Tamandua tetradactyla: one gene and its partners. The protein of the gene in region 2 interacts with the protein of the main gene of each other region in a biochemical or structural test. Links are inferred from orthologs where the notes say so. Each region holds a gene or a part of one and is shown on either strand. Other genes may lie near its edges.

What was found.
Region 1: of the proteins of CDC34 (region 2) and UBA1, one has a biochemical effect on the other in vitro, tested with the Homo sapiens proteins (7 studies listed by BioGRID, with this or other methods). The link is inferred for Tamandua tetradactyla from reciprocal best matches to the Homo sapiens genes CDC34 and UBA1.
Region 3: the proteins of CDC34 (region 2) and CUL2 form a complex in vitro, tested with the Homo sapiens proteins (2 studies listed by BioGRID). The link is inferred for Tamandua tetradactyla from reciprocal best matches to the Homo sapiens genes CDC34 and CUL2.

What each region holds. Positions count from the first base shown.
Region 1 is NC_135353.1:123,055,899-123,066,351, forward strand, and holds the start of UBA1 (ubiquitin-like modifier-activating enzyme 1), read right to left. Parts: upstream 4,865-10,453; 5' UTR 4,718-4,864; intron 3,757-4,717; exon of another isoform or gene 3,670-3,756; intron 1,815-3,669; exon of another isoform or gene 1,588-1,814; intron 1-1,587. Other genes in the region: RBM10 (RNA-binding protein 10), read right to left, coding at 9,773-9,898, 10,004-10,133, 10,212-10,318. UniProt on the Homo sapiens protein: Catalyzes the first step in ubiquitin conjugation to mark cellular proteins for degradation through the ubiquitin-proteasome system.
Region 2 is NC_135337.1:82,391,205-82,402,078, forward strand, and holds CDC34 (ubiquitin-conjugating enzyme E2 R1), read right to left. Parts: upstream 5,725-10,874; 5' UTR 5,688-5,724; coding exon 5,511-5,687; intron 3,402-5,510; coding exon 3,315-3,401; intron 3,162-3,314; coding exon 3,064-3,161; intron 2,739-3,063; coding exon 2,544-2,738; intron 1,702-2,543; coding exon of another isoform or gene 1,671-1,701; exon of another isoform or gene 711-1,670; intron 699-710; coding exon 485-698; 3' UTR 448-484; downstream 1-447. UniProt on the Homo sapiens protein: E2 ubiquitin-conjugating enzyme that accepts ubiquitin from an E1 ubiquitin-activating protein, and catalyzes its covalent attachment to other proteins by an E3 ubiquitin-protein ligase complex. In vitro catalyzes 'Lys-48'-linked polyubiquitination.
Region 3 is NC_135327.1:216,103,168-216,113,928, forward strand, and holds the start of CUL2 (cullin-2), read left to right. Parts: upstream 1-5,962; 5' UTR 5,963-6,290; exon of another isoform or gene 6,291-6,667; intron 6,668-7,612; 5' UTR 7,613-7,682; intron 7,683-10,761.

The DNA of each region.
Region 1 (10,453 bases), on a different chromosome or scaffold from region 2:
CCTCTCGTGGTCTGTGACAGGACATGCTAGATACCAGACTTGTTCAGAGGAGGTGGAAAGAGGAGGTTGAGCCCAGACCATTTAGGCCCCAGAAAATTCAGCAAGCAAGCATTGGCTGGATCCTGAAACAGGTTTAGGTTTCTCTGACCAATGATGTTGGAGTCCATGGAGGCTCTGAGAGGAGATGCTGAGAAGGGGGCTCTTTACTATGAGGGACCACTGTACCTGTTGGGGAAAAAGATGTCTGACCATGATCTTGGAATCCTATGAGGCTGAAAGCAGAAGCTGAGAGCCTCTGACTGAAGAAGCTGGGACCCCTGAAATGCTCTGAAGACAGATTCTGAGATCTGATCTGAGGTTAAATGATCTGTGAAAGGAGAAGCTGTAATTCTGGTCAGCTTTTGAAGGCAGAGATGGAGTCTTAGGTGGGGTTAGGGAGGTAAGTCTTTGATAGAGGTGGCTAGGGCTCAATAGGGTCTGTGAGGGCAAACACTTTCTGGAGAGACCTCTGATGGAGGATTATATGTCCAAACAGTTCTTCCTTGGTGTCTGGTCCCCTAGAAAGTGCTGAGGAAAGATACTTAAGGGTGTGGGAAAGGCGGAAGCCTCTGAAGGGTAGTCTCTGAAAAAGATACTGGGACCTTGAAAAAGGGTCATTTCCTAAAAGTAGATACTGGGGTTGTGTCTGAAGGACAATGTTGGGCCCAGAGAGTTTTCTGATAGAAGACAGTGGGCTAGGGTGGAGTTGGGTTAGGTGGGTCATTGAGTACAAATGCTGGGGGTGTCAGAGATGACATAGGAACAAGTCTTTAAGGGCTGATTCCAGGGATTGGAGGAATCTCTAAAAGCAGATGCTTAAGTGGGTGTGTGTCTCTGAAAAAAGTGCCGGCCCCAGGAGGGTCGCTGACGAAAGATGCTAAGGCCAGCGTGGGGTTGGGAGATTGATGAGATGTGAAAGAGTCTGAAAAGGAAGTCAGGCCCAATGGCCTTGCACAGGGTCTGTCTCCTCGGGAACTGAGGGCAGATAGTGTATGGGGTGGGAGAGAAGAGGAGGGAAGAGGGTGGTACATCTGAAGAAAGATGCTGAAGAAGGTTCTCTTTCAGGAGAAGTGATGGACTCTCTCCAGGGTTGGACCCCTCTTGAAAGCTGTGAAGCCAAATCCTGTGGGTCTAGGAGTGTGGAAGGGAGACTCTGTGGGGAGGTCTTTAATGGCATGCATTGGCAGGGGGCTTTAAACAACAATGTTGAGCATGGTTGTCTATTGGCGACTGGGGGTAGTTCTGATCTGAGATGCAAGGTACGGGACAGGGTGGTCAGGTCTCTGACTAGAGATGCTGGACCTGACTTTCTAAAAGCAGGTGCTGGGGGTCTGACCCCAAGGTCAGATCTCTAAGCTCGGGATGGGGGGGTTGGCCCCGGACAGGAATTGACCCCGCCCCAGGATCTGTTCCCCCGCAGCCGACCCTTAGCGACCAAGTCATTACCACCCGCTCCGACATCAGCCCGACCCAGTGCCGGCCCAGGCTCCTCCAATGCATCCCGAAACCCTTGCTCGGGGGAAGGCGATGAGAAAGGTCGTTTGTTACCAATGCCGGTTCCCCGGGTCGCGCCGCCGCCAACGCCTCAAGGAGCCGAAGCCAAGCCCGGCCACCGCCCTCCTCCTCCTCCCCGCCGCCTGGGCCGCCTAGAATCGCCGCCTGGGCCTCCGCTTTCTCCTTCCCGAGCCGTTGTGGTGGTGCTAGTCCCTGCCGCCTCCTTCACCTCAGCAGCCGACACAAGATGGCGGCTGCCGAGCCCGAGGCCGGAACAAAACCTTGGGCCCCACCCCCAGAAACCCGGATGCAAGCGGGCCGCGCCCACTTATGAATCATGAATGAGGTCTTCAACCCTTGTATGACTCGTACGGTTGGGAGGTAAATAGCTCCACCTGGTGGTTGATAGGGCACTAACTGGGAAAACAGGTAAAGCTACAAAGAGGCCTTGCCCCAGGTTACATGAATAATGAATTAGTTGCTGCAGCCAGGTTGCCTTAGTAACCAAGAAAGGACATCAGGACCATGCTTCCTGATCATGAATTATGCATGATCGGGTGGTTGATTGACTAACATTCTGCAACCAGAAAGCAGATGTTAGAACATGGAAGCCACACCCTACTGTTGATGAATAATGAATGATTTTGCAGCGGCCGGGAAGCCAACGAGACCACTTCTCTTATCCTTATCATGAATAACCCATGAGGCCTGGTGGGCTGGAACAAAAGGGACAGGCCCGCCTACTGCTGCATCTAATACCCTGTAAGCAGGGAAATAGGGCTACTGCAGGGAAAACACATTCCTTCAGGCCATGAATAATGAATGACGCTGCTGTTGCAGCTCAACGTGGAAACCAAGAGAGATCAGAAAGGTCCCACCTAGCTATCATGAATTATGCATAAAGCTGGATGGACAGACACTCAAAACAGACCCGCCCAGCAGGGAGGGATTATGGTTTTGCAGCCTAGTTGCCAAGGCAACGTGGCCACGCCTCCCTGTTCATGAATAATACTGCCCAGCCACAGAGAAAACCAAGGGAGAGTGAAGCCTCCCTTCCCCACCCTCAACAAACTGCTCATCAACCTGATCTGTTTTGGTTCAACCAAACTTGCCTTTGGCAAGTGCCTCAGTTTCCACAACTGTGAAATGGGGATAGTAATAGAACCCACCCATCTCAAAAGAGTGAAATGAGTTATTATGAAGATCAGAATGAGCTTAGAACAGCGCCAGCACAACGCACTAAATGTTAAATGTTTAAAATATTATATATTGTTTTGAAGTGCGCTCCCAGAAAAACACTGGAAAACAGAATGCTATGGCCACCACAGTCCACGAACTAGGTAGGACAGACTACTAGGTCACCAGAGACACACTGTATACCAAAGCTCCAGGCACATAATAAGCACCCAATACATTTCTGCTGAATAACAATAATAAATCACATTAACTGATTACTCCTGTCGTGTACCCTTATATATGCACCATGACACCGATATCCTCAGGAAAACCCTAGCAAGTTGGTGCTTTTATGAGCTCTGTTATATAGAGGAGGAAACAAGTTCCTTCTTGTCCTTCAGGTCTCAGCTCAAAGGTGATCTCCTTATAGAAGTCTCAAATCCTCACAAAAATCATTTCTGTCTACTGATTACTCTAGCTGTGTGACTTGGCGCCAGACACTGCACCTCCCTCCGCCTTGATTTCCCTATCAGTAAAATGGGAATAGTAGTCTACCTTGTGATGGTGTTTAAATGAATAAATATGTATAAGGCACTTAGAATAGTGCCTGGCACATAGTATAGTAAGTGCGATTTGACTAACATTAGTAGCAACACTATTACACTGGGGGAGGTGTAAATCATGGAATTTGGTTAAGATGCTGACTCTGGAACTAGAGTGAGTGGAATTTGGTTAAGATGCTGACTCTGGAACTAGAGTGAGTGGGTTTGAATCCTGGCTTGGTTACTCACTGGCTGTGTAACCTTACACAAATTATTTAGCCTCGCTATATGGCTGTGTCCCAGTTTCCTCGTCTATAAAGGGGATAATAATAACCTACTTCCTAGAATTGTTGTGAAGATTAAATGGGCTAACGAAGTGATAAATGAGTGGGTGTTGATCTTATCATTATCCTCATACCTATTTTTCAGGCCCACAGAAAGATTTGCCAAAGACCACACAACTGGCAAAAGCGATAGGATTGGAATGCAGAGCCTTTGTTGATAACCTGGAATACTGGGCTGTGAGGTATTACGAACAATGCGCGAAACCCCGCCCCTTTGGAACCTATACGAGAATCTAACCCTGATCACGTAAATGAAGCCACAAAGGCCACGCCCCTCGCGAATTATGACCAACGTCCCTAGAAAGGTCACAGAAGACTCAGGGCTCTACTCACCTGCATGAATAATCAATGAGCTCTAGTTTGGCGTGGCTGATTTCAGAACGCCCCTGCAGCACGCTGAACCGCCCCCTTATGAATAATTCACAACCCGACGCTTTCCCAGACCAGGTGCGAAAGAGGCAAAAATCTGCTTTCCCCACGGCCCCACCTCCTCATGAATAATGAATAAAGCCGCGGCCAATGGAGGCCTGGTGGCACCAAGTCCTCTCAGGAAGAGATTAGTGGATTGGGCTCCTGCAGCTCTTCCCCAGCCTGGGCTGGGGCTCCTCTCCCCCAAAACGTGTGGGCTCCGACGTGTTCAGTCTCGCTATCCTGGATCCCCAAGTGTGGGAGGTCCCCATCATGAAACCAGGATCACAGAGGCCACAGATCCTCCCTAATGCCAGCTCGGTCCTGAACGTTCCCAAGCACTGTCACGAGAACCCTAAAACCAACCCTCCTAAAATCCCGCCTTGACTTCAGGAACCTTAAACTCCTCCTCTCCCACCCTTGGGAAACACCCCAAATCCTGCCCCATGGACAGCGTACTCAAACATGGGCCCCGTAGTTCTCCCAAACACCCCTCAAAACCCTGCCTCCTAGGGGGGCTCCCAAAAAGATTCCCAAATCCCATCCGGAGTCCCCAAACACCACCTCCCAAGAGTCCCTGCCAAAACAGACACCGCTAAATGCCACCCACCCCGGGTATGGAGCCTCCAAATGTGCTCACTAGTGTATCCCCGAAGTTGAGCTCCCTCCCCCAAATGCTGTCCAGGGGATTAGGGTCACCATGCTCCAGCTCACCCCCTGCGCCGAGCGGAGGCCTCGCCTTCCTGCTGGAGATGAGCCGAAGCCACGGGGCAACGGAAGAGCAAACCACCTCCGTCTCGCAATAGGAGTGAGAGTTTGCGCGGAGCTCGGAAGCGCGGGGCCTTGGAGGGCCCCCACTCTGGGCCGTACCACAGACTCTTGGAAGGAGGGGTGTTCGTCCGTGCTCCCGCGCCATCGGCACCCCTGTCAGATCTAGACACCCCTACAGATTTTGGTCCTTCCCGGACGGCGCGGGGCACACTGGACGTGGTAGTCCCATCTGGCCAGTGTCTGTTGCACGTGGTGGGCAAGAGCGCCCAGTTTATGAGAAAATATAAGCTAGGGAGGTGAGATTCCCGGCACTGCGCTAGGGGAGAAGGGGGAAAGGAGCGGAACATGGGGGTGCCTCCAGACCGATAGACTCACCTGTCCTATAGATGGGAAGACTAAGGCTCAGGTAGCCAAAGGATTCATTCATTTGACATTTATGAAGCTCAAATTGTGGTCCAGGTGCTGGGGAGTCTCCCTTGGCTTCATGGAGCTGATACTCTAGGGAGAAAGACAGATCATAAACTTAATAAGTAAGTAAAAGTTCTAGTTTCACATATAAATATGTATCATAATAAACGTAATTATATGATATACATTGTATATGACATACATATAAATACTACATATTTTATATGAGAGCTAGTAGCTATAAGGAAAAAGATTTACATCTTTTTGCATATAATAAATGTCTTATAGTAAATACAGTATATTATGTATTTTATGTATTCACATGAATAAATATTATATAAGTAAACGTATCATTAACTGCTAAATGCTATGGAGATAGAAAAGCAAGAAAAGGAGAAGGAGGCATAGGGTGAGAGGGGGGCCGTGCCATTTTGCATTGCTTCAGCAATGCATGAATGAGAAGTCCTGTTTGTTCACAGCCTCACCCACAGTGTATTGCCAAGCCTTTGGATTTTTGCCAATCCGGTTTCATTTTTATTTGCATTTCTCTTATTATTAGTAAGCTAGGACATCTTTTATAGGTTTAAGGATTTTTTGCTTTTGTTTTTTTCTGGGAACTTTCTATTCGTGTCCTTTGCTTATTTTCTATTTGGTTGTACTTTCTATGGCTTTTTCTCCTTTAAAACTTCTTTATATATTAGCCTTTTTAAAATGAAGTTTTGAGGATGAGAGTGATTCAAACAGTTGTGGTATGTGTTTCCAAGATCTGGTATGTGCCAAACCATGTTCTAGGCCTTGAATAAAGCAAACAAATATTCCTTCCCTCTTGGAGCTTTCCTGCTAGTGGAAGAGATACATAATACAGAAAAGCAAGTAAAATGTATCTAGTATGTTACAAGTGGAGAAGTAGTAGAGAGAAAAGTAACCAAGGAAGAGGCATAGGGAGTGTGATAGGGGAGGGAATGGAATTTTAAATGGTGTAGCCCTGGCAGGCGAGATTTGAACATTCGAATGTCATGTTGCTTTAGTTTCCTTTAGTCTGGAACAGTTCTTCAGTCTTTCCTTGACCTTAATGACCTTTACACCTTTGAAGATTACAAGTCAGTTATTTTGTAGAATGTTCTTTGGTTTGAATTTGTCTGATGTTTCCTCATGATTAGATTCAGGTTTAATATCTTGCATGGAAATATCCCAGAAGTGATGCTGTCTTTTTATTCCATCCTTATTCCATGATTTTAACATTGATCCCTTTTAACTTTGATCCCTTGATTAAGACAGCATTTTTGCCAGGTTTCTCTACTGTAAAATTACTAATTCTCCCTTTGTAATAAATACGAAGTTAGTTGAGACATGCTTGATATTAATAAAATTATGTTAATATCCTGTTCCTCGGTAAAGTTTAACAAGTTTTACCATTCATAAATGATTTTCGAACTCCATCATTTGTTCTGAATTATTAGTTGGCATTCTACTGTAAGGAAGAGCTTTCCTTTCTCCATTTACTTATGAGTACAGATTTACGGATTCTTGAATTTTATCAAATTGTTTTTCTGTGGTTGAGGTTATGTTTGTTTACTTTTAGTCTGTAAATGTACAGAACTACCTACATAGCTTCTCTGATGTTGACCCAATTTTGCATTCCTGGGAAAAACTGATCAAAATATATTTGCTAAATATACTATTGGATCCATTTAGCTAATATTTAATTTTTGCTTGAAATTTTCTCTTGTATAGTCTCATCTCTTTGGGGGATCAAAATTACAGTAGCCTTATAAAATTACACAAGACATCATTCGTTCTTTTCCTAATATGTAATTTTTAAAGAAAATCTATTTGTACCTCTAGAGCAGAAATAGGTAATGGCGCAAGTATGTGCAAACCATACTTCTATGAAATGGATCCTCATGCCACACTCTTTTTCAATACAGACTAGTTGCTGTAACATTCCTCTCTGATTTTCAAAATCCAGTCATCACAGATGCTTCTGTTACTCAGTTTTAATGAGCTCAGGCTAGTTAATGACTCATTTCTTTTGTCAGTTTTCTTTTCCTCAATAACTATCAAAATGTATCCTGCCACTGTCAGGGCAATCATTTATATAGCTGATCTTCACCTGGATCTTGTTTTTTACAGCATCGAGTATCACAAGGGAGACAGTTTCTGGGATTTCATTTTCTTTTTTAAAGTAACCTATCAGGCTCTTCCTCCCCCTATCTATAGATTTGTGGAATGGCACTCTGTAGGTTTAAGAGTGGGATGGAGTTTTTGGGCTTTCCTGTGGTTTGGTGCAAAATCCATTTATTCTCTTCAAATCAGTCCCTGGCCCAGGACAGGCAGCCCAGCTTCAGTTTCCACTGCACATGATTGGGAATTCCAGGTGGCTGATTGGCCAGCAGTGAGCGTTAGAGATGAGGAAGGATCTCTTTCACATAGCCTGAAACATTCCTATTGCTAGGCACAAGCTGCGGAGACCACCCATGACCATTTACCCAGTGAATAACATCCTCCCTACCCCTGCCACTGCTCTATCACCATAAATTTGTTCTGCCTAATTTAGAACTTTACATAAATGGAATCATACGGTATGTACTGTTCGTGTTTCACTCTTTCACTCAACGTTGCCTGTGAGATTCATCCATGTTAATATTTGTATCAGTATTTTGTTCCCTTTTATCGGTGAACTATATTCCATTGAATGAATATACTGTAATTTATTCATTCTCCTGTTGTTAGATGTTTCAGTTGTTCCCAGTTTTTGGCTATTATGAATATAGCTGCAATAAACATAAGGTACAAGTCTTTTTGTAGGCATGCGTTTTCATTTATTTTGGGTAAATAAGAGTGGAATGCTGGGTCATAGGGCAAGTGTGTGTTTAATTTTATACAAAATTGCCAGTTTTCCAGAGTGACTGAACCATTTTACACTACCCCCAGACATGTATGATAGTTCAATGTATGAGGGTTTTCTGCTGTAGGATTGCAGGTGCTGTGCTCTGGGGGTAGGAAGAGGGAATACTGCATCTTCACCAAAAGGTACACCTATCCTGAGACTGAGGTGGCCTCTTTCTAGTCCTATTTCCTCTCCTCATTCACACCTCCTCCTTTCTGCTTACTTTCCCCTTCCTCTCCTTTCTCCCACCATTTCTCACTGAGCAACACCCACCCCCTCTGCCCAAACCAGCACCATTGCCTCCTCTAGGGGCCTCTTCTCACTACTCATCGCACACAAATGGTTGGGAATGGTGGCACAATGCATATTAAGTGGGGGGAGAGGCTTAGTGCCAAATGATCTTCCTACACCATTTTCCTTCCACCCTCCTCTCAACTCACCACCATGTGTTTCTGTGGGGAGAGGGGGGAAGTGCGTGGTGGTGGGTCCCTGGTCCCATTTCACAGTGCAGTCCTCCCTGGCCCAGAGGGGGAAGCCCAGCTTCAGATTCCACCGTACATGACTGGGAACTGCAGGTGGATGATTAGCTGGCAGTGACTGGGGAGGGGGACACCATGGTAATAATCGCTCAAGATTTGGACTGGAGGGGATTGGGGAAGATGCCAGTGCCCCATGGGAGCATTCCTAGGACCTGGGATTGGCAGACACTTTAGACTCCAGATTGTGGATCAAGTGCAGCTGGGGAGCCATGAGGCCAGGGATGGGGGGATTCTGAGTTCCTGGAGATAGGGGGAACAAGACTTGGAAGCCATGGGGAGCTCAATTGGATGAGGTGTCCCTGGTCCTGAGGGATAAGACATTGTGGGAGCAAACAACCAGAGTGGGAGGATTTGGAAGAACTTGAAAAATCCAGCTGCTCGAGGATGGGGATTTTGTGGATGGAGATGGAAGCCCAGGAATGGGTGTGACCTCACCTCCATGTCAAGACAGCCTTCTCTATCTCAAACCCCCTGGGGTCATTAGCCTGTCTAGGGCAGTGGAACTGATTTGACAGTGCCTGCCGTATTGACTTGGAGATGCCCAACGTTACTTACTGTACCCAGGCCCAAGGATGGCAACGTACAGTGTAGACTCCAGATTGTGTATCAAGAGCAGCTGGGGGGCTATGAGGCCAGGGATGGGGGTATTCTGAGTTCCTGGTTCTGTAGAGGCAGATCTAGGGGTACTTCAAGCCCAATGGTACCCTGGTGGTGCTGGATTTCCTGGTACAGAACGGCCTGCTGGACCCTGACAATGGTGAGAGGCTGTAACCAGGGTCTTGGGGGCACCAGCCAGAACCCCACATTGTCCCCACCTTCCCAATGAGCTGATAGTCACCATGTACCACCACTGCCCCGCACCTCAGCCTGACAAGGTCCCTTGAACATCTATCTGTGTTTGTGTCCCTGTCAATATGGGGACAAGAGGAAAAAGAGAGACATGCAAGCTGTAGACTTTTCAGCTTTTATTATAAAAAGAACATGATCCCAGCCCAATTTTTCAATAAAAATCACCAGCTCAAAGTGTGATTTGGTCAGGCCTCCCTGGGTGGGGAGTGGGCTGGATGGTAGAAGTAGGGACTCCTCAGACTATCCAAAATTTCATCCTCCCCTGCCCCAGGATGGACACCCAACATATGCAGAAATTGATCTCCTGGTTGCTCACTGGGCCTCATTGAAGCGCGTCACCATTGTCTTGTGCAGTGTCTCCTTATAGGACTCTGTTGAAGTAACCCCATAGGAGCTGCCCCGGGCACCCAGGCCAGAGCCCCGTACCCGGGTCTGGGCCTGTATGAAGGAGACAGGTTCTGTCAGTTTAGTGGGGAGATGGGGGCAAAATGGGGTTGTAGTAGGGAGGACTGGGGATGGGGGGTAGGATCATGGAAGCCTCACCTCAATGGGCGTTACAATGCCCTGCTTCTTGCGGCCCAGGCCACTGCCTTCTTTCCAGCCCATGGCCTGGAGCATGCGACTGCCAATGTTGTCGCTGCCCAGCCCATCTCGCGTGGGCTGCTCAAAGTCCCTGCAGAGGACAATAGTACAGTGTGAATGATCAGCCTGCTAGCCTCCAGGCCCTCTTCACCTGGCCCTGGACACTTACACAGAGGCCGTAGACATGCCACCATACTTCCTTCTCTTGGGCTCTGGCGGCTCAGGGATGCCATACTTCTCCCTGCGTTCAGCTGCACGGTCCCGGTACTTCATTTGCTGCAAGTTTTTGTGTGTGTGTGAATTGTGGGGAGATGGTCACTATGCATAGTAGGTTGGGGAGAGGGGCAGGGAGATAGGGGGAACAAGACCTGGAACCCATGGGGAGCTCAATCGGATGAGATGTTCCTGGTC
Region 2 (10,874 bases):
TCCGCCACTGGCTCCTCCACATCCTGGGGCCAAGGAGAGGCTCTAGCTTCTCATAAAGTGGTTTTATTTAGATTCCAAACAAACCAAAGCAGAGAAGTGGTGGCCAGGAGTTAACCATCCCCTCAGGCGCTAGGAAAAGCCAAGCCTCTGGCTCTCCGCCCAAGTGCCGTGGCCCCCCGCAGCCTCCCGGGCCGGGCGCCTGCCTCCTGGAAGCCAGACCGGCTGAGGCAGGTGCAGGGCTCCGCTGTGCCCTTGTGGCCGGGGGGAGGGGGCTGGGCCGCCCCCCGCTTCTCTGCCGCAGAGAAAAACCCAGAACAAACACGGAAAGGGAAAACGGCCTAGAACGGAACAATCAGAGGAGGAGGGAAGAGAACACACGAACCTCCCGTGAGGTAGAGTCTGTCGGCGTTGGGCGAGCGCGGACCGATACAGTTCCCGGTCCCAGTGTGAGGTAAAATTTGTAAGTTTATTTTGGCCGGGGGTGTCAGGACTCCTCATTGCCTGAGTCGTCCTCGTCGTCCCCGAAGCAGCTGTCTGCCTCCTCCTCCACCTCGCCGTCCTCATAGTAGTCGTCGTAGAAGAGGTCCGAGCCCTCGTCCGGTGCCGGGGCCTTGGTCTTCACGCAGTACTCAGCTAGCGTGGTGGGCACCTTCACGCCATCGCGCTCCGCGTCCACCTTGGTCCCCAGGACCTGCTTCCTGGGGGGGACAGGGCAGTGAGGTGGAGCCTGGGGGAGCGGCACCCAGACCCCTGGCCCCTGCCCGTGGGCCGGCCCCCTAGCGCATCCCTTCACACAGTGCCCTAATGTCGGGCTGTCAGGTGTGCCCAGAGCCCAGGCCGCCACGTGCACACACACACATCCAGAACACACCCAGGTGCACAAGGAGGGCACAATGTCCCGTGGAGGGGGCTGAGCACACCCGAGCAGGCCACACGGCCTGAACGATGACAGCCAATGGCCAGGGGAGATGCTGGTCACAACGGGCAGTGTGTTTCCGGAGACCACGCTCATGAATGCGGGGTCCACGGGACCTCCTCAAGAAGGCACCGCCAGCACTGCACGGCATGGTCAGTGCAAGATGGGCTTCTATGCGGAATCGAGACCTCAGCAAACTCAACTCAAAAGACAGTCATCAGGTGCCACACACAGCCTGACCTCATTTCTCGATAAAAACAGTCCAGAAGGGTAGAATGAGGTGTCGGTTGCTAGGTTATTACAGATGATGGTGATTCCCCGTTTTAACTTCCATCTTTCTATTATGAACGTGCCTTCCACCCGAAGCCTCGCTTCTGCAGCTTCACTGACATGAACGGCACAGGGTGCCAGCACTTCACCTGGTGGCGGGCATCCTGTTGAACCCCTCCCACCCGGGGGCAACCCCACTACCCGACAGCCACCGCTGAGGAGCCTGTGCTATCCAGAACCCAGGCTGGGCTCACGTGTGAGCATGTCCACTCAGCGTGAGGGTCGAGGGATGTGTCAGCACCAGCCATTTGTGTGGCCGCACCACGGCGTGCTCGCCCCCACCTGCCGCTGGATGGTGGACGGTCCCAGTTTGGGGTGATGAGGAGGAGGTGAGCAGCTGCGAAGATCTGTGTGCAAGTGTCCATGGGGCGTGTACGCACGAGTGTCCCTGGGGCATGGATGCCCACTTCTCCTGGGTGAGCATCTAGGAGAACAATGGCTGGGTGGTGCAGTGGCTGTGTTCAACATTTCATGTTTTTGATAAAAAGGTAAACGATGAACAAAAAACATTTAGAAAGACCATAACGAAGGGTTAAGTTTGTCATAAAGCAACTTGGTAAACCCCAGCTGCACGTGTTTACTCACTGAACAATAGATAATGGGCACAGGAGGCAATTCACAGAAAGCAAAAAAAAAAAATCAAAAACAAGCAAGAAGAGGAGGTTCAACAGCTCCAGAGGTGTGAGCTGACGACTTACAAAACAGTTTGGTCCCTGGATCCAGTAGCTATGCTACCAAGAACCTATTTCATAAGACTCCTTCACACAAACATTCACCTGTTTGTTCATAAATTTAACATGTTGCTTTTATAGCTAGAAAAAAAGTGGCTTTTCATAAAAGGTTCTTTCTTAAATATGCTCATGTTATGTTTTTTCTTCTTTTAGAAAATCACTCCAAGTTTAAAAACTACAAATATAAGGAATGTTCCTGGCACAAAAGAAACTAACTGCAGAAAGCATCATCTTCATATCGCGTGAAATCAGCCATGGCTGGCGCGGCCACGCTCTTGCCAGCAACGCCAGGAACACCAGCCCTGAGGGGTGCGGGGCATGTCACTCGGGTCTCTCGATTTTGTGATGAAACAAAGCCACGGGACAAAGCCCTGTTAAGGCCTGGTGGTGGGTGCCTGGGTGCGTGCATCTTCCAGACTCTAGAGTGACTGCCTCAGTGGCCTGGCTGTGACCCCAGGTGAGGGGGCCGCAGGTGACCAGCAGTGTGCAAGGTTTCAGCCAGCATGGCCCTGGCCGGCCGCCCCCGCCACCCCTGATGCCACCCCTGCAGGAAGGAGCCCGCTCACCGGATAATGTCTGTGTACTCCCGGTCCTTCCCTTTGCTCTCCTTCCACTTCCTATACATCACGGAGGCATCCACATTGGCCGGCGAGAAGGTGTTGGGCTCGTTGAGAAGGGAGATCACACTCAGCAGGATGGTCCTGGGGAGCAGTGGGCCAGCGCTGGCCTCAGGGACTGCCCAGAGTCTTGGGGCACCCAGCCTGCGGCAGAGCTTGTGAGCAGGAGCTGGGCCTCAGGTGGCTGCCCCTCATGGGGAAGCCTGCAAACCTATGCTTCCTGGCTTCTCAGGGCCCAGTGGGGGTAGGGTGCTTGGACACCCATGAAGTCAGCACCCCAGCCACCCCTGCCAACCTGAACAGCCTCTGGCCTCTGCAGGACCTGGAGAGCCAGCCCTTGTTTAGGTACTGCCCAGAGAATGCCCCCAGCTCGGAAAACTACCCTGAGACCGAGGGACACCCAGAGAGGCAGTGTTTCCCCAGGGACTCGGCATAGCGGAGCCAAGAAGGGGGCCGTGAGGGTCCTCACCTGACATTCTGGGTGGGATTCCACCGCTCTGACGGCAGCTCCCCACTCTGGGGGTCGTCAACTGGTGGGTGGAGAATGGAGATGCACACGTCCCCCGTCTGCGTGAGGGTGGGAAGGGCAGGTGTAGGTTAGAGTGGCCCCAGCGCCCCTGGCCACTCATGGCCCCAAGGCCCCTCCATCAGAACTGCCCACTGACCACCATTTACAGGTGAGAGAACTGAGGCCACCATAGGAGGTAGGTATCAGCTCACCTCGTAGATGTTTGGGTGCCACATCTTTGTCAGGAACCGAAATGCAGGTGGTGAGTACGGGTAGTCGATAGGGAACTTGAGGCGAGCCTGTGGGAAGGGGTGCAGGGGTGCGGCTCAGGGAGGCTGTATCACAGTGGGCGCCTGACAGAAAGGCCTGACCCAGCCACCTCCAACTACAAGCAGCAGCACGGTAGAGTGCACAAAGTACCTATGCCCACCCCACGTGGCCTCAGGCCCAGCTGGCCCCCGTAGCCCAGGGTGGCGCAGCTCCGAGGCGTGTCAGGTGTCTGGGCCCCAGCTGCGAGTGTATTGGGGTGGCCAGCAGCAGCAGACAGCTGGACACGTTGGCAGGGGCTTGGGCCACAGGGTCCCTTGAGCAGTGTGCCCAGAGCAGCCATCAGCCTTCTCAGGGCTGTCTCCCGAGCTGGGAGGATATGCTGGGCTGACGTTCCTGACCCCTCCTGTGGGCACGGAGGTCACCAATCATTGTGACACCCCCACAGCAGTGCTTGTTCTTAACCAGTGCTGGGGGGTCCTGGCAGTACCTGGTCCTAGGACTCTGCAGGTGAGCAGGAAACCCCAGGCCCTGCATCATAGGGGCACCTGCTTTGGACTCTGAGAGGGGATACTGGGGGGGGTTCTGTTTGTGGGGGACAGGCATGAGGCCCTGGGAGGCAAGAAGTGGCAAGGAGCTGGGGCTAAGGCCCCACCCAGCACCTTCCAGGCCCTGCCTGGCCCCTCAGAGATACCCTTTGGGTATGCTTTGGGCCCCACAAAGGGAAGCATGCACCCTGGGGCCACAGACTGGCCTTTCCCTCAGGTGCCTGCTGCAGAGCCCACCTCTGTCCCCCACAATTTGCAAAGGAGAAAGGAGTAGGAAGGGTGGTGGCTTGGGAGAGAATTGCTGCAGGAAGTGTTTGGGAAGCTGCTACAGCTCCCAGGGAAGAGGGCCCCCCTACAGGGAAGGGCCAGCAGGTGGCAGCACACCCTCTGCAGCAGCCCACACAAACAAGATTACCCCCTCAAGGCCAGCTCCCAGGAGGGCCTACCCAGGGCCGTTGCCAGGCAACAGCAGCCCACAGCCTTTGCTTCCAGACCAGCAGTCCCCTCACAGCCCTGGCCTGACCCCAAGGTGGGATTCTGGGCTACCCCTACTGTGAGTAGAGCCTTTTTCATCAAGGCCAGCTGCTCCCCCAAGCAGACGAGAGAAGGCAGGGAACCAAGACAGCACGCACTTCAGCCCCAAACCTGTTCTCTGCAAAGGGAGGCCAGATTCCTGGGGCAGAACTGAGCAACAGGAACCCAGGGGTGCGCCCAGGACTGTCCACACTTGTCCAGGGTCCCTACCACCCCCTACATCTTGTTTACCCCAGAACTTGCCCAGCATTAAGGGAACCTCACCCACCAAGCCAGGCCACAGCCCAGGGGCCACCTTTGTCCAAAGTGCAAATGCAGGTCTGAGTGAGCTACCCCAACACCCGGCCCCGCCTGAGCCGGTCTCTGCCCCCACCCCCAAGGCAGGCAGGTGTAAGAGGGCACTCCTGCTCTGGGGGCTCATTCCTCCCATACCGGGAGGACCCACCAGATGGAAACTCCCCTGGTTTGAGCCCAAATCCCTTGTCATCTTGGACGGAAACAGTCTGCTCCAGGGGTGGCACGGCCTCCCAGTCCCAACCACAAAAACAGGAAGGAAGTGAAACCACGAAGCCTGAGACAGGGACCGCCTGGAACTAAACTCTAGAGGGGCCGAGATGTGGACCCCAGAAGCCGCCCGCCCAGCGCCTCGCAGGCGACACAGAGCCGTGAGCCTCCGCCAAATCCTGGGAGCAAGTTATATAAAGCTAGGGACAGGCTACAGCCGGGCGGGCCGCTGAGAAGAAGGATGGCCACTCTCCAAGCCGGGGCTGGCGGCCCAGGCCCGGCCAGGCCTTTGTTGGGACTGAGCCAGTCGCCCCAGGCAGGGCCTCCCGCCGCCCCACGGGTCCCATGCTCCCCAACAACAGCAGCTCGCAGGGCCGGGGAGGCCCTTTGTCTCCTGGGGGAGGGTCAGGGAAGGCAGCTGCCTGCAAAAGCCGCCAGGGCGCTCCTCCCTCCAGGGGCCGGGCCGAGCCGTCGCGGGGAGAGGTGAGCAGGAGGCCCTCGCCCAGACCAGGCAAGTAGGGTCGCGAGGGGCGGCCGGGTCCGGGTAGAGCTCACCTTGAAGTAGCCGCCCTCGTAATAGGTGTTGGGGGGCCCGAAGATAGCCACCTCCCAGTTGTACAGGTCGCCCTCGTCCACCAGCGTCACCCGAAAACCTTCGACCGGCTCCTCTTGCAGCCCCTTGAGCTCGAGCAGTAGCGCCTTCTGCGAGCTAGGCACCAGCGGCCGGGCCATGGCGGCGGGGGCGGCGGCGGAGGGGCCAGGGCCCGGGACCGGGGCCGGGGCCGGGGCCGGGACCTGAGGAGCGCTGGGCCGCGGGGCTGCCGCGGGCTCGCGAGACGGGCCGGGCCGCGCGCCGGCCGAGGGGGAGCCGCCGGGGCCGCCGCCGCCGCCTTGCTGCTCTGTGCCTCCGCCGCCGCCGCCGCCGCCGCCGCCGCCGCCGCCGCCACCCGGAGCTCCCGAGCGCTCCACTCGCTCTGGCACCGCCGCCGCCCGCCCGGCCCTCGCCTCGGACCGGCCCGCGCGCCCCGCCCCGCGCTGCGCCTGCGCACCGCGGCCAGGCCCAGACTACGCCTGCGCACCCGCCCGCGAGGCACGCCGGGAAGCGAGTCCCCCTCCCCGGCCCCGCCTCGCGCCCTCAGCGCGGCCGACGGGAGGGAGGGGGCCGAGCGCGCAGGCGCCTTGGCGCTTCCGCCGCCCTCCGAGGCCGGGGCTCCCTTCCGCTTGTACGAGCACCCCGGATGCCTGTGCGCGGGGAGGCGGGCACGGTTGGGCTGCACCGGCCTCCGCGGGGCCCTCCGGGGCCTTGGGGGCCGTTTTTGTGACGTCCCGGCAGGGGGCGGGGCCCAGAGGGCGGGGCGGCCGGGGTTGGGGTCGCTGCCGGATACCGGTGAAGTGGCGAGCTCCCGAGCCTCGGTTTCCCTATCTGTAAAGAAGAGGCGCTCGCGCCAAGTAGACAGTGTCAGAGGGAGGGCAGCGGTCTGCAGACGCGGGTCCTAGACGGAAAATCCTCAGTGTCTGGTCAAACGGGGCGCTAATAACGCTCGGGGCAAGACTCGGGCCTGGGGCGCGCGGGGCGGGGGTCCTGCGGGGCCGTCCCACTTGGGGTAGGACATGCTGGAATCAAATCATGAGAGCCTGGGGATGAATGGAGTCCTCCTGGCTCGGCGGTCACCCAGCAGCAGTGACTCAGCGGTTGACTCCGGACAGAGGTCCCTCCTGATCCAGCAGCAACCCTCAGACTGGCCCCTGACTCCTATCCGATCCGGGCTGAGTCTGACCCCCGACTGAGCTAAGACCATAGCTGAACCTTGACTCCAGCTGAGCCCTGACTCTGGCTGAGGCTGACCTCAGTTGAGCCCTGACCCATCCCCCCAGCTCTGACCCTGGTTGAGCCCTGACCATGGCTAAGCCGGGAACCCTGCTGAGCCCTGACCCTGCTGAGCCCTGCTGTAACCAAAAAATGAATTAACAAATGATTATGATTGATGAATTATTATGTAGATGTTTTTTTCTTTCTAGATTGTAGAATAGACAGTTAATCCCTGAAATTACTGGAGTTCAACAAGTCCTAGCCCTGTGTGGACTCGCTATTGTGATGGTAAAACATCTCTTGTTTGAATCCATAAAAAACGAACTCCATAGACTCCAGGAGACAGGTTTGGGGACTGATAGGCTTTCTGCTCTCCTTCTTTGCGCCCAGCATTAAACTCTTTCTCTCTTTGAAACCCTGCTGTCATGGATTGGCTCTTTTGCCTGTGGGGCAGAGAACCCACCAGGATCACTGACCCCAGGTGACCCCTAACCACAACTGAACCTTGACCCCAGCTGCTCCCTGACCCCGACTGCACCCCATGCTGAGATCTGACCTGGCTGAGTCCCAACCCTGCCCGGGTTTGCCTGGTCACTTGGGCATGGAGGGGGTAGGGTGACAGTTTGGTCTGAGGGCCCCCCTCCCCCGCAGGTGTGACCTTGTGGCCTGTTGCCATGGTGACCCCCCTCTGCCCCATTGCCCTCAGCTGCACCAGCACCTCAGCTGGCCCTAGGGACACGCCTTCCACCAGGTGCTCTAATACCTGGCCCCCAAAGGACAGGCAGGACAGAAATCAAGGTGGTCCCAGAACTCAGGCCTGGTTCCCCCAATTTAGCTCCCACCCATAGCCCCATGTTCTCAGCGGAAGTCCTAGGGCTGTGTCTCATTGGCTGGCTGGGAGTCACATGCTTTCTCCTGACCCAATCACTGCAGCCAGGCAACTGAAAGGCTCTGATTGGCCAGCAGGGGCTGGTGGCCACTTAGGTGAGGATGCTCAGGTGGGGTGGGGGCATGGGCTGAATGGGGTCCCCCCCAAAAGGGTACAGTGAAGTCCTAACCCCTGGCACCACTGTATAGGACCTTATTTGGAAATAGGGTCTTTGCAGATGGAGCTAGTTGAGATGAGCTGGGCCCTAAGCCCCCCATGACTGGTGCCTTTGTCAGGGTAGGGGAGGTGGTCGCAGGGATCAGAGTGCTGCAGCCATAGGCTGAGAGCACGGAGGCTGCCAGCCCCCAGTGCTTCCGAAAGTCAGGCAAGGTCAGGGAGAATCCCACCCACAGGCTTCACAGGGAGCATGCATGCCCCTGCTGTAACCTGGGCTTCAGACTTGTAGTCTCCAGAACGGTGACAAAGTAAATTTCATTGTTTCAAGGCCAGTTTGTGGTCCTCTGTCCCAGCAGCCCCGGGGCCCTGGCACAGGCAGTGAGCAGTGGAGAGGCAGAGGGGCAATGGTGTAGTAAAGAACCCGTGTTGTGGCCAGTGGGGGTGGAGGGGTGTGTGTGCATCCGGGTCACCTCCTGAGTGCCTGGTCACTGCCTTGGTGCTCGGGTGGACAAGGGGCCCTCCACGAGGCCAGAGACTCCTGGGAGAGCCGGGATGGGGTGGACTGAGCAGAAGCACCGAACTGGACCCAGCAGGCCTGGGTGTCCTTGAGATGTCCCCATGCAGACGTCCAGGAGGCAGCTGGCTCCTCCATGTCCTGGCCCGAGATGTGAATTTGAGTCCTTGGCCACCAGGTAGTAATTGAAGCCACAACTTGGCGGGATGCCAAATAGGAGGGCATGGGACGGAGGAGAGGCCCTGGAAGGTGGTGCGAAGGGCCTCCCACCAGAGAAGCTGGGAGAGGGGACAAACCTTCCAGGGGGCTGCAGAGGGGCCACCACGGGAAGGGGGCAGGACAATGTGGGTGGCACGAAAAGAGGGTGTCAGCCGAAGGGGCAGGGTAGGGTGTTCATCACTGCTGCCAGGTCAGTGAGGGTCAAACCAGGAAGGGGAAGCTGGTAGGGGAGGGCCACGCAGGGTGGTGGTCCTGAAGCTGGGAGGGGCTGCTCTAGGCTGAGCTCCACGGACAGGCACAGGGCGGTGTTTGTGTCCTCTGGTCTGTCCCCCGGAAAGAGGCACAGAGCCTTGTAGGTGCTGTGGCCCCCAGGGGTGGGGGCAGCCATGACTCACCAGAGCTGCAGAGGGACCCTGGGTGGGCACCATCAGCATCCACTGGGAGTCACCCCAGCCCCCTCATCACTGGGGAGCAGGGTCCACCCAGGGAACTCGAGTCTGCTGAGATCCCCTATCCCTGTCCAGGTCTCTGGGACCTCAGTCCACCTGCCTGTAGGCTCCCTGAGGGCAGGGACCCGTCTCGCCAGCATCGCTCCAGCCCCTACCCCGTGGGGGCTAAATCTCTACTGCTTCTGGAATGTGTCCTGTATGTGGGCACATGACACACAGTAATAATGGCTGATGCTTGCAGAACTGGGCACTGTTCATCAGTACCCCAGGTACTCACTGCTGCTTAACAAAGCACCCGCTGTGGGCTCGGCTCAGGGCCCTGCAGGGTGGCACTGCAGGTGGAAGACCTACCTGGGTCTGGGCATCCTTGCAGGTGGGGCTGCTTCTCAGGGCAGCCTGGAAGTCACAGCGTGCCGAGTCACCAAACCACTCCAGCTTGGTGTGAGCACATGGAGGCCCAGTGGTGCTCTGCTGCTTAGGAGGAGCATGGGGGACTAGAAAGGTCCAGGCCATTTTGGGAAAATGAACGATATCACAGTTCACTCACTTGCTCATTCATTCATCACTCGCTTTCAGTCACTCATTCATTTGCTCATTCACTCAGCCACTTGTTCATTCTTTCACGCCCTCATCCACTCACTCATTCACTCATCCACTCCCTCACTGCCTACCCTATCCTACACCCAGTGCTGGGAAGTGGGGGGCACAGGGTTAGCTCCTGCCACGATGCACCTTGTAAAACATATCAGAACAGGGGCTGCCCTGAGCCCTGTCTAATAGAGGAGACTGAGGCAAGGAGTGGAAGCCACGTGCCAGCCATCACTCAGAGCTGGGACTCTGACCCCGGCTTCGCTTTCTGCTCTGCACACAATTCTGGGCCCAAGAAGTGATCCTGCTGGGGGAGAGGGGGCACCCAGGGGTGCTTGGTGAGCATCCACCAGCTTGCCTACACGGTGGGGCGTTGGAATCTGGGTACATCCTCATGGCAGGTGGAGGCAGAGGAGGGTGTGGCTTCTGGAGCCAGGGGAGGGCAGGGTCTGGATTAAAATCTTGGCTCAGCCTTTGCATTTGTTGACTTCAGGGGTTAATTTCAGTGGTTTGGACAAACCCTGGCCCCAGCACTGCTGCTGTGGAGGGCCTGTACATGGGTCAGCATCTGTGGGTAAAGGCGGTGGCCCATGATCACGTCGGTGGGCTCCACCCAATCAGTTGAGGAGCCCAAAGAGCAAGCTGTGGGCTTGCTCAAGATTTCAGCATCACTCTTAATGGAATTTACTCTTAATGGAATTTCCAGCCTGTCGGTCAACCCTATCTGGGGATTTCAGATTTGCCAGCCCCCCAGCCACATGAGTCAGTTCCTTAAAATAAACCCGTGGACTTGCACGCAACACATGCTGTTGGCGGTTTCTCCAGAGAACCTGGCTGACACGCTCTTCTCACCTCGAGCTCGGTTCCCACCTGTACTCACGGGGCCGTGGTGAGAGTGAAAACAGCGCAGCAGAGGCTTGAGAGCTATGCTAACCACCCTCTCTGGCAGACAGCTGGGAAACCAAGGCCAGGGAGGACCCAGTGGGCAGGAAGCAATAGCCTGTCCCCTTGGCCTCCTGAGCCTCTGGGGGCCAGGGCAGCCAGGCAGCTTGCCGAGCATCTCCCTGGCCTCCGCCCTCCATCCCCCCGATACAGCCAAGCCGGGGGAGCCCCGGCACTTGCAGGAGACACGACCGCCTCTGGGTGCAGCGGGGCCTGCTTATGGGGGTCCCTGGCCCACTGCAGGCAGGGATGCAGGGACAGACACGCATGCCAGGGGCTGCCTCCAGGACAGGTTTTATTACTGCTGGGCAGGATGCAGCCAGTGTGTGGGGAGGGGGGGTCCCCACTTCAC
Region 3 (10,761 bases), on a different chromosome or scaffold from region 2:
ATTCTCAACCAAGTCCTTTGAAAAGTTGGGAGTAGAGGGAGCTAGCTAGGAGAGAGAAGTAATTCCTAGCAGCTATATACCCAAAGTTAATAGGAATGTGCCTATAGCTATTAAAGATTTCAGGTGAAGATGCATAAGGAAGACAAAATGAGATGGTAGTAATAGGAAATTATACCACTTAAAAATGTTTTGTACTTTTTTGTAAAGCAACACTAGAGTGACTTTCAAATAAAGATTGTAAACAATCTTAACGCTTCTGTGTAGAAATAGAAGCTCCCAGGAGCACTATCTATAAATAAGTATTTCAAATTCTTGTAAATAAGGTCTTTAATATTTCAAACATAAATCATAAATAAAAACAGGAGGTGAGGTTTGCCAATTAGATTAAAGTCTACTTCAATTTAATTGCTTGATATACCTATTATTATTTAAGAAATCTTAACTCTTTACTAAAATCACCAAACAATTAACTATTCAAGTGCCGCTTTCTTTTATAATTTCCCTCCACCCCTGTCTGCCTTTGGCTATTTTACAGTCAATGAACAGCAGAATCAGCTGTTAGGGAGAAATGAAATATGAAATTCAAATAATCATGGTTTATCTCCACTCTAATCTCTACCATCACTTGAAAATCACACATAAATCCCACAAATTTTTATAGTGGAGTTATTTGCTTGACTAAAGAAGTCATTGTAGGGTTTTTCTTTTCAAAAGCATGCTTCATTACTGAATTTTTAATGTATTCCAAAATACTTATCTACACATCAGGTATAAATGCATTTAATTACTAATTAGTGAATCTGGAAAAGGACAGAGAAGACACTTGAGTTAGCTAAAGTTCAGAGAAATGAAATACAACGTATGATACTTACCTAGATTGGTCCTATCTTGAGTCTCAACAAAACCGGTATTTTTCTAATGAAAATGAAATGCCTAATTAAGTTAAATTCAACTCTTCTACTAATTTTAAATGGAATAAAAGCATCCCAGTGTCTATATACATAATATGGATCTTTTGTCTGTGATATAGTTGCCCCAATTCGAGAGCTGGAATCTTTAACCATCATTAATTATGGCATATAAATTCCTGTTAAAAACATTTCTAAGCAAAACAAAACAAAACAAAAAAAGTGCTATCAATGAAAAAACTCGAGGCTCAAAAATTGAGGCTCTTTTAAGATAACAAAACTGGATGACATTTTGAGTTGAGATCACCTTAACTTTAATGCTTCACCAAAATAACTTTAAAGAAACTGAGTTTTTGTAAAAATTCTTTAAATAATATATTAGAATCACATATATCCCACTATTAAAATTTCACAGGATTTTATTTTGACATTTTAATTGGCCTGGTTGTATCATTCAACAGGCCTTGTTAAAAAGCATGCATGGAGACCGTCTGCACTTTGGAGAACCAGGAGCCTTCAAAAGAACCTGAAGGAATTGCTAGAAAGGTTTCTCAGCACAAGCATTTCTTTCCTTATCAGTGAGAGTTTTTTTAAAGCAATCTTTAAGCAAAACTCCACAAAACTTCCCATAAAACCAGTCTGCTTACCTCCTATTTATAAAATTTATTTCAAATACATCTTGCTGGCAGTCTCCTCTAACACTCCCGAGAAGGTCAGTCATGAGATACACAAAACAGAGATCGTTTTATTTTTTACACTTTGCTATAACTGATTTATACAAATAGGACTTGAGATGTTTTCAAGACAGTAATATCAATTACCGACTCATGCATCAACAAATAAAAAGGGTACTATCAAGATAAATTTCCATTGATGTCATTTTTAAGTTTTTGTCTTCATTCTCTTATTCTATACTGGATATCCTAGAGACACAAAAAAAGGAAACCTGGGAGTGGAAACATTTACTTTTAATAACAGCATACTCTGTGGATATTTTATTGTGCAGTTTCCATGGTAAAACATATTTTAAATGCCCTTCTATTCTTTAAAAGTAAATTATTATGGAATCTTGAATAGGGCCTGAGATTTGGTTGGTCTGCTCAGGTAAGTGGATTTCTCAATAAATCCCAGAGTACTGTGGGCAATGAATAAAGAAATATTCGCAAAGTCCGCTTGGCAGACTGGGGAGAAAGGAGGAAATATTCAACTTCCTCATTTGGAGAATTTCTGATACTCTTGCAAGCAGTGGAGACAACCAAATCAATAGGCCAAGCCCTCAGTCTTGGGGTTTGTTCCTATGGAACTTATTCTTGCAAGGGATAGGCTAAGCCTACTTAAAATTATACCTAAGAGTCATCCCCAGAGAAACTCTTTTGTTGCTCAGATGTGGCCTCTCTGAGCCAACTCTGCAAGTGAATTCACTGACCTCCCTCCTACGTGGGACATGACTCCAGGACGGTGTAAATCTCCCTGGCAACGTGGGACAGAAATCCTGGGATGTGCTGACACCTGGCATCAAGGGATTGAGAAAGCCTTCTTGCCCAAAAAGGGGAAGAGAGAAATGAGACAAGATAAGATATTCAGTAGCTGAGAGATTTCAAACAGTCCAGAGGTTATCCTGGAGGTTATTTTTATGCATTATATAGGTATTCTTCAGTTTATGGTGTATTGGAGTGGTGGAGGGAAGTACCTGAAACCATTAAGCTGTGTTCCAGTAACCTTGATTCTTGAAGATGACTGTATAGATATAATGTTTACAAAGTGACTGTGTGACTGTGAGAACCTTGTATTTGATGCTCCTTTTATCCAGGGTATGGACAGATGTGTAAAACAAAATGGATTTAAAAAAAATAGGGGAGACAAAGGTTAGAATGAATTGAGTATATGGAAATACTAGTGATCAATGAGAGGGGTGAAGTGTATGGCATGTATGAGTTTCTTTTTTCTTTTTATTTTCTTCTGGAGTGATGCAAACGTTCTAGGGGATGATCATGATACGAATACACAACTATGTGATGATACTGTGAGCCACTGATTCTGCACCATAAGTGGAATGTATGTGTGTGAAGATTTCTCAATAAAAATATTTGAAAATTATAGCAAAATTAAAACTAAAAATTGAAAAATAAAAAATTAACCTAGCAATTAAAAACGTTTATTTCTTCCTATGTGTAACAGATGAGATACATTTTCCCTGGAATCTGTATTTTTAAGTTTCCCTACTGATAATATTGATATCGAAACTGTATTTGATACATGATAACTCTTCTCAAAGTAGGTTTCTCTACATGGAATCTAGCTGTTTCATAACGTATAAACCCTTAACAAAATTCAGACATTTCAGGCTTATTTCCTTAGCAATCAATGCTGACAGTACATCAAAATATCAATGGCTTAGCTAAGTGTTTGCATTGTTCAGTTTTAGTTTGAGAAATCTATATAGAAGGTACAAGACATGTGAGAGCTTTCCAATACATTATTCCAACAATAAAGCTGGCTCAATTTTCTGGCCCAATGTTTACTTGGAGAAAATATAAATTTGGACAGACTCAGAAATGGTTAGCTGTACCGGTAAAGATGTGTCCAGGATTCCTTATGTCTATTAATAATTTGAAACCCTTCCTTAATTTTCATGAAATGGCCATAATTCTAAAGACGACTTCATATGTCAATGATGCAATGACTCCCCTCAATAGGAAAATAGAATACAGTAGAAAACCAGAAGACCTACGGGACCTGTTTCTTGCTAAATTCATCAGTAGAAGCAAATTTCAGTAACAATGCAAAAACAAAGACTAAAAAAGCTCCTGTATTTATACATTTAATAAAAATTTATTCACATTGTCTTACAAAAATAGGGATACAAAATACCAGTGTAAATACATGTGAACACTCAACCAAATGATTCCACGCTGACCATTAACTCACTAGGAAAGCATATGCTTACACTGATCCCTTCAGAGTCACCAAAAATGTCTGTGATTATCAACACTTAACATGAAAATACTTTGTTTTACTCATTCATATCAAAACCATTTAAATATGTCTTTTTAATTGTATTTGGATCAATAAGTAATTCTTTAAAAATCATTTTTATTAATACTTAATTAGCATTTATTGGTCAAAACATTGTTTGAAATTTACCTACCTCTGGGAAGGGGGAATTTTTTTTTAAGTTACTTTTAAATTCAAAGATTTAAAGGCTGCTATTATTTTATTATGTGGAAAGAAACTTGTAACCCACGAAAGAGGATCAACAGTAGTAAAAAAATGTAGCATCCACAAGGAAAAAAATTGTAACTGTTTGAAATAAAAAGTTATTGATCAGTCTTGGAGATATTGTGTACACCTTTGTTTTTAACAATACAAAACAGCTGCAAATATACTGAGATCATGATCTAAAATCGTATTTCAAAAATCATGACATTAATCATAGGCATTTGAATTTGAGTTTTAAACTACATATTTTCAGGTTTTCTTGGTGTTAGTTTTTAATAACTACAAGACAGAGAACACGAATAATTAATGTAACCTAATACAATTTTCATACCTGATCTGCGCCTCTAGGATTATATTCAAGGGAAGGTGGTTGCACTCCATCAGTTTAGCAAATAAGCAGAAACTTGATACAAATCACGTAGGTAAGCCACACTGTAAGAAAGGCTCTTAAATTTTTACTCAGACTTCCGGGCTGACCATGTAAGTCAAAATTTCTGAAAATTTGACTGCATTATTTAACACAACGCAGAAAACGTCTAAGTGGTTGCCAATTTAGAGCTCTGGTATACACGTAATGGATAGCAGGATGAAGAACTATGCTGAATAATGCACTTATTCCCTACTCGACAGGTTCTAGGAACCTTGCTAGGTGACCCTAAAAGGGCAAACATCAGAACAAGAGAAACTGCGCTTTCTACCAGCTGGAACGGATTTGTTCCTCCTTCACAAGCAGTATCTCATCAGACCTATCGTGTCCGGACTCAAGAGATTCAATCGCGATGCCCCTCTTACTCATATTTCAGAAGAAATGGGTCACGTCAATTCATTTCTAGACCGAGTACATAAAACTGAGACGAAGATGTTATTAATCGTCGGCTGCGGTAAACAAAACCAACATTCGCAATTCTCGTTTCTTTTTTTTTTTCTTTTCTCCCCCTTTCCAAAGAGTGAGAACCGCATTCATGAGAGCAATAAGGCTTTTCCGACTTCTCCCAAGTTCAGAAGAAGTCGAGGAGGACTTAGAAATCTGCCGAGCCCGTTTCAGGCCTAGGAGAGTTATCTGATTAAAATTAAAGCAACGAGCGAGCCAACTGGAGGAACGAGGTGGACGAGGGCGCTAAAGCGGACGCGCTGCGCATCTCCACAAGGGCCAGGGGGCCGGGCGAGGTCGGCCTGCGGAGGCTGCGGGCTCCAGTCCTGGGCCGGGCGGCTGGTGGCGTCTGGCAGGAGGCGCCGGACTCGGAGCGGGAAGCCCCCGGGGCCGCCCGGCCGCCGAGCTGGGGACGAGCCACGTCTGGGGCCGCGGTGCTCTCGTCGGGGCTGGTCTTGCTGGCGGGCCCGGAGCACGGCCCACCTCGGTCCCGGAGGCCGCTCCCGCTGGCGACCGGGTTGGACACCGGCCGCCGCCGCCGCCGCCGCTTCCTCGGCGGAGCCCGGAGCCCGGGTGCCCGCCAGCCAACCCGCCGCAACCCCAGCCCTCCGGGCCGCGGACCCGGGCTCCGCTCCGCCTCCTTCCTCCGCCTCCTGCTCCCGCGTCGCCGACTCCTAGGTCTCTAGGTCCGGGGCAGACGCGCAACTTACCCGCCGCGATGAGTTTACGTAGCGGACCTCGTCACTGATTACGGACGGGAGGAGGTGGGGACGCCGAGCCGGGCCCGCCGCTCAGGAGCAGCGCTGCCACCCAGCAACCCCGCGCTGGCGCCGGCGGCGGACCCACGTAGCCCCCACGTCAGCTCTGATGCGGCAGCCGCAGCCTCTTCGCCTAGTCGTCCCCAAATGTAGCGCCGACGCCGACGGAACCGCGTCCCCGCGCCCTGTCCTCCCCTCCCCCACTCGGCGACCGCTCTCCCCGGGAACGCCCGGAGGGGAAGTCCAGGCCTGAACTCCGCCCCCTGCCGGCCGCCAGCGGGAGTGCGGCGCTAACAATCCAACAATTAAATGGAACGGAAGGGGGGGGGCCCTACGCCGCGGCTGGGAGGAGGAAACTGACCTGGGGGTGGGGAGGAAGCCCGGGCGGGGGTGGAGCCGAGGGGCGGCGCTGGGAACCGGAAGCACCCCGAGCGATGCTGGAAAAGTGACTTGTTGCACACCCGCTAGCGGCCTACATTTGTGTCGAGAAGTCATCTTTTTTCCCGGCTGGCAGTCGCTGCAGCCCCGGTCAAGGTCTGTGGCCATGGCGGCTCGGTCCCGGGTCAGCAACACGTTGTGACAGGAGCGGGCTTCGGGAGAGCGCCGCGTCTCCCGCGACCGGTGACTGGTCCACCGTCCTGAGGAACGTCTGGGGCCTGCGGGACCCCTGCTGGACGCGGACCCCTCCCGGAAGTCCGGCTGCCCGCCTTGTCCTAGCTTTCTGCCGCTTCCCCGGTGACCTTGGCACAAGTTGCTCTTCCCAGTGTTTCACTGTCGCAGAGAAACGATAGTCCGCACTAAAAGATGTGACGGAGGAGAGTAAGGTTTTCTCTTAATAAGCAAAACCCCTGCCTATAAAGGAGGAGAGCTGAGTTTTCAGCCAAGTGGAAATCTTGGGCTTTCAAGTTAAGGTTTGTGAGAGGAACGTTTCTAGACCTGTTGTAAACTATACACCTATTTGTATATACTTAATAGGATACTACGTCGTCTTTAACACTGGTGTAGTAGGCTGTCCAAAATTTAGAATATTGAGCCTAAAAATAAACCGTTTACACTTAGGAAAAAGTAAATTCCTAACAATGATTGAAAACCCAACTCTGTGATAGTCAGGAATTCACGCTGGAAACCTCTGTCAAGGTCAACCCCTTCGGTACACTCCTTGAAGAGTTGCTGTGAAAATAAAAGCATTTATCAGTGTAGTGCAGGCAGAGAAGGGAAGCTTTGTGAGATATTGGGGAAAGTCCGTGCAGGTTCGGAAAAATGCTGAACTCTTGAGCGGTAGGTTTTGACCAATCTGGGCCAGTAAACTAAGCAGAGGTAAGAGAATAAGTACCCGGCAAGTTCATTTCCCTTTTGGCACAGGCAGAATTGTGTAGCAACAATGCTTGTCCCCACCTTTTAAATATTAATTTCTTATTGAGGAACATTAGCAAATTAATAGAAAGTCAAAATAAATACAAAGTTAACCACATCCTGTTTGAGTGTGTAGTTAGACGAGGCTGACACAGAAAATGTATCCATAAGTAATCAGTGCAGCTCATTTTAGCCCAGAAAAAAAATGGGTCATTAGGAGGAAAGAAAACTAAAAAGGGCTGGACTACTAAATCCTGAAAAATTATACTATTCATTGTTATGAAGGTTGATCAGGTGATAGAAGTCTAGTTAAAATGATTTAGGAGAAATTGTGATAATTTCTGTTTCCGAAAGACTGTTCTCCACCTACTTGATTATTCCTAAATTTCCTTAATGAAGGATAAATTATATAGTTAGATTTTGTTAGAGAAAGTGCGTAAAATGGAAGTATGGAGTGGTAAGTGACATATACTAAGATGTTAATGTCATATCGAATCCTCAAGGGCAAAGGAAGAAAAGTCCGGAAGACAGTGCCTAGAATCTCCAGGGAGAGGACAGAAGTTATCAGGAAAGGTAAATGCAGTTTCCTATTGCTGCTATAACAAATTACCACAAACTTGGCGTCTTAAAACAACCCAAGTTATTATCTTACTATTTTGTAAGTCAAATGTCTGACACAGTTCTCACTGGGCTAAAATCAAGGGTTGGCAGAACTGGAGGCTCGTAGGAAAGAATCTGTGGCCTTGCCTTTTCAGCTTCTAGAGGCGGCCGGGATTCCTTGGCTAATGGGTTTCTTTCTTCCTCAGTCTTCAAAGCCAGCAACAGTTGGTAGGAGTTTGGTTCATGTTACCATCTATTTGATTCTCTCCTCTCTCTCCTTCTTCCACTTATAAAGACCTTTAAGATTATGTTGCCCCACCTTGATAATCTGGAGTAATTTCCCCAATCTCAATGTCATTTTATTAACAATATTAATTCCATCTATAACCTTAATTTCCCTTTGCCACCTGTCTTTGTTTGCCAGGGCTGCTGTAACAAGTACCATAGACTAATTGGCTTGAACAACAGAAGTCTATTGTCTCATGGTTCTGAAGGCTAGAACTCTGAAATCAAGGTGTCATCAGGGCCATGCTTCTCTTAAAGGGAAGAATATCCTCCATATCTCCCCTGGCTACTAGTTTGTTACAGAATAGCTCAGTCTCTGGCTCAGTCACATGGTCATTCCTCTCCCTGTCTCTTTCTCTGTGTCAGAGTTTCCTTGCTTGTTAGAATACCAGTCTGATCAGATTAGGAACCACCCTACTCCAGTTTGGCCTCATCTTTACTAATCACACCATCCTATTTCCAAATAAAGTCATAGTTACAGGACCAGTGATTAAAATTTAAACGTCTTTTTAGGGGACACAGTTCAATCCTTAACACTACATAACTGTTATAGTCACAGGTTATAGAGATTAGAATGTGAACATTTTGGGGGACCATTTCTCTGCCTACCTGCAGGAAAGGATTCCAAAAGAAGCTTAAGTTCCTGAAGATAAACTACCCACCTCTCAGTATCATCTCTTCCAAAGCATTCAACCATTTGATAAGAAATTTTAATAACTGATGTTTCACTTTCCCATATCTATGCCTAAGTAAAGATTATAGTAATTTTTTTTTGCATGCTGTATGGTGGGGGTAGCATTTCACTCTTTTTCCATGTGACTATCCTGTTATTGCAGCACCACTTGTTGAATGTGGGGAGAGGGATAGGGTGGGGGGTGGAGCAGAAAGTGCATGGGCTGGAAATAAAACCTGGGTCTCCCACATGAGATTGTAGTAATTTTTAAAATGGGATATCAGGGATTAAGAAGAGCAGCAAGGTTATATTCTCATTTTCTACCATCAGCCTGGGTAGTGCCAGTGTCCTCATAATTTGCACTGAATAGAACCTAGTCTGTATCCAAGACATATCTTTGTTCAAATCTGATTTTCATAGATCACTTTCAGAGAACTGTGTTCATAAAAATTGTCTCTATCATAGAAGAGCAATTGTATCAAACCAAAAGAATCAAAGCCATGGCAATTTCTTGTTTTCAACATCTATTTTACAATGTTCTGTTTACTACCATAGCAGAAACTATGCCTTTATTTTTAGCATCTGTGCTGGTTTGAAAGGAAGTATGCCCCCTAGAAAAGCCATGTTTTAATCAAAATATCATTTTTTGGTAGAAATATAGATTTTGAAGATACCTCTGATGAGGCCTTAGACAGAAATGAGGCACGTGTTACTAGAGACTGGAAGGTCCCCCAAAATGTTCACATTCTAATCTCTATAACCTGTGACTATAAACCTGTGTCCTTGTTTTAAAATGGCAGATAATCTGGCAAAGCTGATTAGTGGCTTTGGCTGGAAGGCAGATTTTAAAAGCCGTGGACTCGGATATTTAGCAGAGGAGATTTCCAAACTAAATGTCAAAAGTGCAGCCTGGTTTCTCCTTGCGGCTTATAGTGAAATGAGACAGGAAAGAGATAAGATGAAAACCGAACTCTTGGCTCTCTCCGCCGGACCGCCGCGCGGCGCACGCGCCCCGCAGCAGCCGAGCCGCCCGACCTCCCTACCCCCTCTCTCTCTCCGCCGGACCGCCGCGCGGCGCACGCGCCCCGCAGCAGCCGAGCCGCCCGACCTCCCTACCCCCTCTCTCTCTCCGCCGGACCGCCGCGCGGCGCACGCGCCCCGCAGCAGCCAAGCCGCCCGACCTCCCTACCCCCTCTCTCTCTCCGCCGGACCGCCGCGCGGCGCACGCGCCCCGCAGCAGCCGAGCCGCCCGACCTCCCTACCCCCTCTCTCTCTCCGCCGGACCGCCGCGCGGCGCACGCGCCCCGCAGCAGCCGAGCCGCCCGACCTCCCTACCCCCTCTCTCTCTCCGCCGGACCGCCGCGCGGCGCACGCGCCCCGCAGCAGCCGAGCCGCCCGACCTCCCTACCCCCTCTCTCTCTCCGCCGGACCGCCGCGCGGCGCACGCGCCCCGCAGCAGCCGAGCCGCCCGACCTCCCTACCCCCCTCCTCCCCCTCCTGCTCCGGCTGCTCTCCAACCAACACGGTGCCCTCTTCCCCCGCCTTCACCGTGCTCCTCCGCCACCAGCCTCGACAGCCTTGCCGCCCTCACCTTTCCTCCTCCAGAACAACTACTGGGGGAGTGGAGATAATACAGAGCAGCTCCCGGAGCCACGAGGGAAATCAAAGGGACAGCGTACCCCATCCTGGAACGGCTGACTATCTGGGAGAACCAGCTCCGGTGAGATCACCAAGGGGCACGGGCTTTCCTGGGTGGGACAGCCAGCGACCGGAGTCCCTCCCTTCCACCTTCCCAGGCCAGCTGGTAGAATTGGACAGGCGGTCCCCTTAGGCCGCGGCGGCTGGTGCCCCCACCACACGAGGCCCCCCGGAAAAACTGAGATAGTTGGGTCGGAAATCCCCAGACTGCGGAGAACAGTGACCGGGGGATCCCTTCCAAACACGTGACTCCCCCGTCGGCTGGGAGCAGTGCACTCTCCCGGGCTGCGACAGCTGGCGCCCTCCCGCCACGCTTGGTGCCCCGGGCCGACTAGCTAATTTAGCCGGACGCTCTCCTGTGCTGCGACAGCCGGCGACCCTCCCCGCGTTTGGAAC